Daphnia pulex: one gene and its partner. The protein of the gene in region 2 purifies or fractionates together with the protein of the main gene of each other region. This does not show direct contact. Links are inferred from orthologs where the notes say so. Each region holds a gene or a part of one and is shown on either strand. Other genes may lie near its edges. The genes, in order: ubiquitin carboxyl-terminal hydrolase 22-like and transcription initiation protein SPT3 homolog.

Region 1 (4,257 bases), on a different chromosome or scaffold from region 2:
GTGGAGAGAGAGTTGCTTGGGATTTACAATCAAAAGAATCCAAAGGGCAGAAACACCAATGGGAGGGTTTATGTCAGAGAAATCTCGCTTTTTTTTTCGTCTTTCAATTCCTTGTTCTAACCATTTTGTGTTTTTTTCATATTTTATTGAATCGTGAAAAAAGAAAAAATGAAAATGGTCGTTTTCTACGGTCATTAACCGCCGATGAACTGTCTGGAAGTGGAAGTGAGAAAGGGAAATTAAAAAAGGAAAAACAAAACAAACAAAAAAAAGGTCTTGTGAATGGAGGGATGGATGTTGCATGCAAAAAAAAAAAAGTTGACTCGGTTGAGCTGCCCTTTACAAACATTTTTCTTCTCCATTTCTATTCATACTCCAATATCATCTTGTGGTAGAAGAGTAGGTACCTGAAAAACCAAATCACCCAATTAATATCCAAGAACAACCAAGCAAATTGCAAAATATTTTAAACTAAGTTTGTTTTTGTGGAATATTTGATACCCTTCACTTTGGAGGACGTCGCGAATATCAGCTTTGGTGATGAGATGGTCATCGCACTTGAACCAATGGTCTCGGTGCTGCCGGATGTAGGCCGTGTAGTGACCGGCTTCAATGGTTCCGACGTGGTTGATCACAGCAAATAGAGAATACCTGGTGGGGTGAGAAGGAAGGAAGCAACGAGGATTCCGTCACAGTCACATTCGGTCGTTTTCTCAATAAACCGAGCAACAAGTTTACATGTTTTCAGTGGAAATAAGGGGCTTGTGGACGGGCCTATCAGCCCGGTCCGGAGAATCCGAATTGACGTTGTTATTGATGTTTCGACGGTGGGACATGAATGGACTCATGTCCAGGTATTCTGGAAAGGCGATGAATGACGAGATCTTCTTATGGAATCGATTGGAATGTTCAAAGCGCTGCATAAAGTAAAGAAAAAAATAACGATGAGTGGTTCATAATATGACGTTCAAAGTCAATAAAAAAACAAAACAATACGCACCTTTAGGTGAAAACTAGCAACCACTGGCAGTTTCTTCATCGTCAGTTGTTTTGTGGATTCTTGGTAGCTAAGACATCGCGAACACTTGATCTTAGCCGAAGATCCCAAGTGCTCTGCCCGGGTGAATCGCTCCAAACAGTCCTGCAAGGAAGTGGGAATCGATCCAGGGCCGTTGCCAGTGGTGACGACTTTCGTGCTGGGTGACGGACCGAGGTCCAGGGAAATATCCCAAAAAGGATCTACTGTTGTAGAGACACCGCTGCAGTGAACAAAAACAAAATAACCGTTAAGACCAGCAAATTTAGGACATCAAACATTTGAAATAGTTATTACTGGCAAGCTTGACAAACGACGTCTGACTGCAAACCACCAGTGAAAATTTGATCTATGATACATGTGCACCGATTGACAGAGTTCTCTTGAGGCTGAGTCGACTGTTGCTCATTTGGTCCTCTGTTAAAAATCATTTATATTTAGAATGTCACGTTTCTCACGACTTTTATAGCCAATGAATAATTTCACCTGCAGTGTCGATGGAGTACATCCAAAGTTGCTATGAAAAATTCGTGGGCGTCTTGCTGTTCATATCCAGCTAAATGACGAGCGTGAGTCCATATCAAGTGAAGAAGTCGGTGCAATGTCAGAGGAGCCTTGTTCCCCGAATAGAACTGCGAAAGAGAAGATTAAAAAAGAAGCGATAAGTCTAGTAGGAGTGTTATGAATCCGAAAATAGATTTCTCACAGGAAACGAGGATTCTTGTTTTTTGGATGACATACCTCTTGGAATAGGCGAGAGATTTCGCAGACCAGACAGCGACTCGGTTCGTCTTGGAACTGACAAATATGACGATCCGACAAGAAGAAATCTCTGAGAAGAGGTACTTTTAAGAGAGCCTGTACTATGCAGTTCATGAAACAGGTGTTGCCCAAATTCACTAGACCTCTGAGTCCTGCCATGAATGAAACATGGAGTTAAGATAAAAGATTGGATAATGAATTTTTTTAAATAATGAACCGATAGTGGCAGAGTCTGTGATCTTCTTGCGTCGTGTATGCTTTTTGAGGAGCTCAATTTCTTCCTCAGAAGGTTCCCATGAATGATAGACTTGACCCAGTCCCAAGGAGAGAGAAGCTTTGGTTTGATGCTTTTGAGCAATAGTTTCCAATTCTCGGTCATAGACGTAATCCCCACACTGAAAGCAGCACACAACTCCATAAGTCAGATCTACAGCTGTAAAAAAAAGGAGGCTGCATTAGTATCAATGAGATTTGATTTTTGGTTGTCGAATTACCTAAGAAATGTTTCCGCTGCTGAGAGTGGGCCTGTATGTGACCAGCACCATAGCAGCCAAAGAAAATGCAGTGAAGGCAGGCATGAAGCCTGGGTCCTCTTCGCTGACAGACATGACACACACACGATTTGGCCTAGCAACAAAAATGATGAGTAAAGGAGTGATTTAAAAGAAACAATACTTGAACTCTTACCTTGCGTTTACGGGCTTCTGAAGATGTGCATGCCACAAAAAAGGAATGAATGAGCCGGTAGGGCCTAGTCCCCTTGGCCGCTTTGAAGTTGTTCAAGTGGAGACAGCCATGGGCAGCCGACATGGCCACCGACGGTGAATTAGACTTGGGCAAAATGTTGGCGGCTTTATAATTCCACACGTTTTAATAGAGACCTTATAGAAAATTAATAAATTTCGGCCTCTACAAGCCCAACCTCGACGGCTTTCTCAAGAAGAAACAATTTATCTAAACGCCATAGCTTCTTTCCTTTTCTGTAGGCCAAAAAAAAAAATTTATTCTGCTAAAATGGTAAAGCGCCATCGCCATCTTCTGTCCAAAATAACAACCTCGTGCAACGTTGAGCAGACAAGATTTTTTTGAGGAAAAATGGAGGGAGATTTTTGTGTGAAAACCGCAGACAACAAATCAATTATATCCTGGCCGCCGGAAATGTGGTAACCGCTAGCTTTTGTTCGGAAATAATACATGGACTAGTGAACTTTTTTTTTGGTGCAGGAAGCAATTCCCCAGGAGATAACCTCATTTTATATAATGATTTCAAAAGATTGGAACGAAACGTGTTTTTGTTTCCCCCTTTTCTTCCGAATTCAAGATAATTGGCAATGTTTTGGCTGGGTGAAAATGAGGTCGGGATTTCGAAGAAGACGTTTTGCCAGAATCAAAATGCTCGTGGAATGTGAAACTCTTGCATTAAAAAAACAACAATGTTGGAAAGTGATGTTTACACGGATGATGAAGCCCTTGGATGAAGTGAAACGGAGTGGAATAAAATCGAAAGTTGAGCTATTGCAACGAGCCGTGAAATAACCAAACGTCACCGTCTCCTTTATCGACGATATTCGACCACAATGGCCGAGATCGACGACGTGTGCAACACATCACATTTCTGCCATAAGTAAGTGGCAACTGGTTTGCAATCAATTTTGGCAATCAAACTAGATTATGTCGGCGATGCATTTCAATCGCCACATGTCTGAATGAATTAAGATCAATCCAAGGTTAATAAATTCGACATGGTCAATCAGCTGGTGTGTGTGTGTAAATAGTTATCTCTCCCCACGTGTTAAGTCATTCTTGACGCGAAATTTTCATAATAACGCTTTCGAGGTGGCCAAAAAACCATGTGATATCCAATTGGACACGATGTGTCGTGAATAATGATGCTGTTGTGGAATAATCTTGTGGCCTTGAAAGTCAAAATCTTGAAGAAAAGAACTTGGGGATGTCTGCCAGTGTTATATAGTCGAAATGCCCTTCAAAATGGATTCTTTTTCATTTTATTTTTCTTTTCTTTTAGGTTCTCGAAGCTTAACTTTATAGCTGATAATAGAAAAAAAAAGGACTCCCAAAGCCCCTCGAGGACGTGAAGAAGAAACTGGAAATGTGTCTAAATGGCCGCTGGAGAAGAACTCGCTTCCCAATATTTAAGTATATACATGTTTTTCTATACTTTCAAACGTATCCAACAACCCTATGGCTTCGCCCTGCTGATGACCAGCCCATATAAGTATACGGTAATTCCCTTTTTTCTCTCGAGACCTGCTGGTGTATCCAATTATGCCATAATCGGCCATCGTGGAATTGTGTTTTTCATCTCTTTTCTTTTTTCGCTGCCAACCAACCGAGTCATTCTCACCCTTCTTCTTCTTCGGTTGTTAAAGGGCCTGCTGGAGAGTTTCCTACATCTTGTCTGTTCGTTCATCCTCGCATTGTTGAACACACGTAACAAC
Region 2 (3,715 bases):
ACCCTTACTGATATGAGAGCACAATATGCAAGCAGAGTTCTGAGCAATATCTTTGCCTACAAAGATCAGAATACTGAAATCATTCTTACAAGTATTAAAAACTCTGATAACAAGTCCTTGAGTTCAACCATCACTTGTGTTGTGGGACCAGTTATCAACCCTTCTACCAAAAAAAAGGATGTGACGACATCATTTGAAGAATATATGAGGTAAAAAACTGTAATTTCAATTTACTCTAAAATGCCTTAATATACTAACTATGTAGGTGTTTTTTGTGTTTGAAGGCTACGACAGTTGCATGTTAAATCCAGGCATCCAACGGAAGGTAAAAGTATGTCTGAAGCATGGATCACAGAGGCTGTTATCAGTTATGATTTCTTGCACAATGACACCACAAAACCAATGCATGCGGTAGGACTAGCTGGACTAGAAATTGATCCTCAATTCAGAGGTATTCAGTTTACCAAAATCATGGTTCCTTTTTAATAACTAATTATTGAATTTTTCATTTCTATTTTAGAAGCAATAAAGGTTTTGTACAACAGAAGTAGGGTTGCCTGTATACTTCAAAAATTTTCTGATGGAGTGGATTGCTCACTTTACCCTCCACTGCCAAGTTTGGATACGACCAATTTTAAGTTGCTGAAGCATAAAGCAGAAATTGAAATCACCTCCAAATATATTGCTGGATTTGTTCCTATGCTGAACAAATTTTCACTCACTCGCATCGCAAAGATAACTTCAGAGTTATGGCGATTTTTGCTATTTTTATCGCAGGATTATTCCCATTACTACAGTTCAGTTCGCACCCTATGTGTGAGTATTCTTTATTCAGGTTTCTTGCATACAATTTTACATTAAAGTTTCCTATTTTTAGGATGAACACAACCGATCGCATCCAACAATGCACGCACGAATTTGGATGTTGAAAGTGATATTAACAATTTACGACGCAGCTTTCGCCATATTGAATTTGAAGCCCTTGCAGTACGTTTAAATTACAGTGCCAGAAGTCGATGTCCAGGAGGAGGAACACCATTTCTTCGGAATGGAGAAAAAATTGAGTTGTGTGTATTGTTGAACCGTCTGATGGCCTCAGAGACTTCCGCTGTTTGAAGAGGTTTCATCGAATTTGACCATGTCGGCTAAAAATACGGAAATTTTGTTTTAAAGAATGATTATAATTATTGTAACATTCATTTTAATCCTTTTACCTTGAACAAATCAGCATTCGCTGGAGATACTCTTGGTGCAGTGTTACGTTGAACTGCGTCACTCACTTGCCCAGCCATATTGTCTCTTCGTACTATGAAGGCCAGATCTACTATTTGTGCGATGGTTTCGTAAGCAAAGTAACTGAGAATAGACCAAGCTGTCGCACTTAAAGCAACCTCAGGAGCTGGAGAATCTTTAAGTAACCAATCTTGAAATTTACCAGAAGGCTGGCCTCTCTTAAATGAGGTAGATTTGGCCTGACAAAAACAATTCTGTTAAATCTAGATTTTGAAAAAGCAGTTAGGTTGAATCAAAATACTTGAGAATATTCAATGTACTGCCCCTTCTCCATGGCTAATGTCATTCTCTCAATCCTTTCATTTCGTTCCTTGAGGGCATCATCAGGTAACAGGAAAGGTTTAGATGGATCTGCCACATTACACAGATAACATGATGGATCAAGGTGTTGTAGGAATGCAAGAGCAGAATTCAGTTTTTTATTTCCAGTGTGAAGATCAGAAAATTCAGTCATTATGTCTTTAGGCAAATCATCTTCTTTTGCCAAATCCTTAAACCCACTGGCTTGTAAATAGGTGCAAAATCTTCTCAGTTTAACTGGACTGTGCCTAATTTAACAGAAATCACTTCAATATATTGAATAACTTGAGATATTGTTAAACTGAAGGTTACCTACCTAAGTAAGACTAGAAATTCTTTGATACCAATTTTCTTTGAGTTAATTTTAACAGCAACCTCAGACAGTGCATTCAGGAACTGAATTAGTTGTTCCTTCACAATTTTCTCTACTAATTCAGCAGTTTCTTTCAGCGAATATTTGCTGTCGCCAAATCCATACATCATTTTTTGGATTTCTAAACATGTCGAATTAAATGTAGTTAGGAAATGTTGACATTGTTGGTCGTTAATATGAACTTACCCAAGATGTACCATCCATCGGTGGAAGAATTAGTGGATACATCAGCAGCTGGCATTTTTAGGAGATTGAGAATTTTGCTAATTTTTACAAAATATCAGTTGTGTTGGTATAATTCGTGTACCAAATAGTAATATCAACCGGTGTTTTCTAAAACTCCATTTGTTATTGTTTGAAGTCTGAACTGAACCCTAAAAGAAGGTATTGTGTGGTAGTCTGCTAGCCTAGCTAGACATATTTGAATTTGCCTCAATGCCAAAGCTAATTTTGAAACTATTTCAATTTTTTTCCCAAAATTTAGTAAGGAAAAAAAAATCTTTATTTTTTATGAACTTTTGAATGAACCACGCTTTCATTAATCTTAAACATTTTTCAATTAAGAAAAAAAAAAACCAAGCGGATGCCTTCGGTACTTCGTCGACACATAGCAGACGAAAATGTCGAAAAAATCAAGGACCTTCAATTTGTAAACAAAGTGTGACAATCGAGATAGAGTCATGGCTCTTTCTCAACTTAAATCATTAGACACAAATTATCTGACAGGGGTTCGAGAAAAGCTCAACCTATTGTTAGATAAGAAAAATGCAAATCCGGAAGAAATAACAAATTTCTTGGATAATCTGAACACCCTTTTCTTCGATCTTAAAAGGAAAGAATTGGAATCGTCGTCAGTCAATGTTCAAGTAAGATTCCATAAAAGTTATATTCATTTCACTGTTTAAAATCTTATGTTTATAGGATTCTGTAATTTTAGTATCAGATGTTTTAAAAATTGTGAAACATGAAGAATCTTTTAAAGTTGCCAAGACTTGTCAAATATGGGAACAAGTTTTACAACTTCCAAATGTACACTTAACAAGTCAAGCATCAGAGCAATTAATTGATTGGATTATAAAATCCCTTAAGAATGAAAATCATTTAATATTTACTGACATTTTCAATTGTCTTGCTGTGGCAGTCAACTTCAAAGAAGTTAAACAAACTAAAGTAGGTCTGAAACTGGGAATGAATGAAAAATTTTGAACAATAATGTTTCCCATTGAAATTACTAAATTAGGCTTTGGAGAAAGTGCTTAGTCCTTCTGGATTCTTGATCAATAAATTGAATGAAGAACAACAAATCAATAATCAAACAGTTCTCATTCTGAAAATTCTCTGCAATTTTACCAACTGTTCGGGAGAAAAGGATTGGTCTACAATATCAAAGGATGTAATTAACACATGTATCATCCAGTTCATAAAATTCCAAGAGCAACACCTAAATTCCGATCCAAACAATCTTAACCTTCTCAAGGTAAAACAGTGTTTCTTATAATGTCATGAAGAAATTTCTTAACCACATTCATTTATTTTACTAGGTTCTTAGTCTTTGTTTCTATGGATTAGAGAATACATTTGTTAGATTTACTGCTTCAACAGTGGCTCATTTGGAAAGTATCTTTAGTAAGGCTGCACATTTCGGAGACCTGCTTATTTGGATATGATATATATTCTTTATCTAAGGTCTAGCACGATACTACATGCTTTTTGGAATCGCTGGTCAGCCACTAAAGTACGCTCCAATTC

What was found.
Region 1: the proteins of transcription initiation protein SPT3 homolog (region 2) and ubiquitin carboxyl-terminal hydrolase 22-like purify together in Homo sapiens (affinity purification with western blotting; 6 studies listed by BioGRID and IntAct, with this or other methods). This does not show direct contact. The link is inferred for Daphnia pulex from reciprocal best matches to the Homo sapiens genes SUPT3H and USP22.

What each region holds. Positions count from the first base shown.
Region 1 is NC_060023.1:10,811,739-10,815,995, reverse strand, and holds the start of ubiquitin carboxyl-terminal hydrolase 22-like, read right to left. Parts: upstream 2,824-4,257; 5' UTR 2,609-2,823; coding exon 2,486-2,608; intron 2,426-2,485; coding exon 2,293-2,425; intron 2,232-2,292; coding exon 2,016-2,231; intron 1,951-2,015; coding exon 1,778-1,950; intron 1,669-1,777; coding exon 1,523-1,668; intron 1,454-1,522; coding exon 1,334-1,453; intron 1,260-1,333; coding exon 1,001-1,259; intron 918-1,000; coding exon 739-917; intron 652-738; coding exon 502-651; intron 408-501; coding exon 365-407; 3' UTR 1-364. UniProt on the Homo sapiens protein: Deubiquitinase that plays a role in several cellular processes including transcriptional regulation, cell cycle progression or innate immunity.
Region 2 is NC_060027.1:750,047-753,761, forward strand, and holds transcription initiation protein SPT3 homolog, read right to left. Parts: upstream 2,372-3,715; 5' UTR 2,208-2,371; coding exon 2,153-2,207; intron 2,088-2,152; coding exon 1,910-2,087; intron 1,842-1,909; coding exon 1,535-1,841; intron 1,473-1,534; coding exon 1,215-1,472; intron 1,176-1,214; exon of another isoform or gene 1,146-1,175; coding exon 999-1,145; 3' UTR 998-998; coding exon of another isoform or gene 878-997; 3' UTR 817-877; downstream 1-816. Other genes in the region: DALR anticodon-binding domain-containing protein 3-like, read left to right, coding at 1-209, 285-451, 521-816, 878-997; HEAT repeat-containing protein 6-like, read left to right, coding at 2,647-2,832, 2,888-3,136, 3,207-3,443, 3,508-3,592, 3,653-3,715.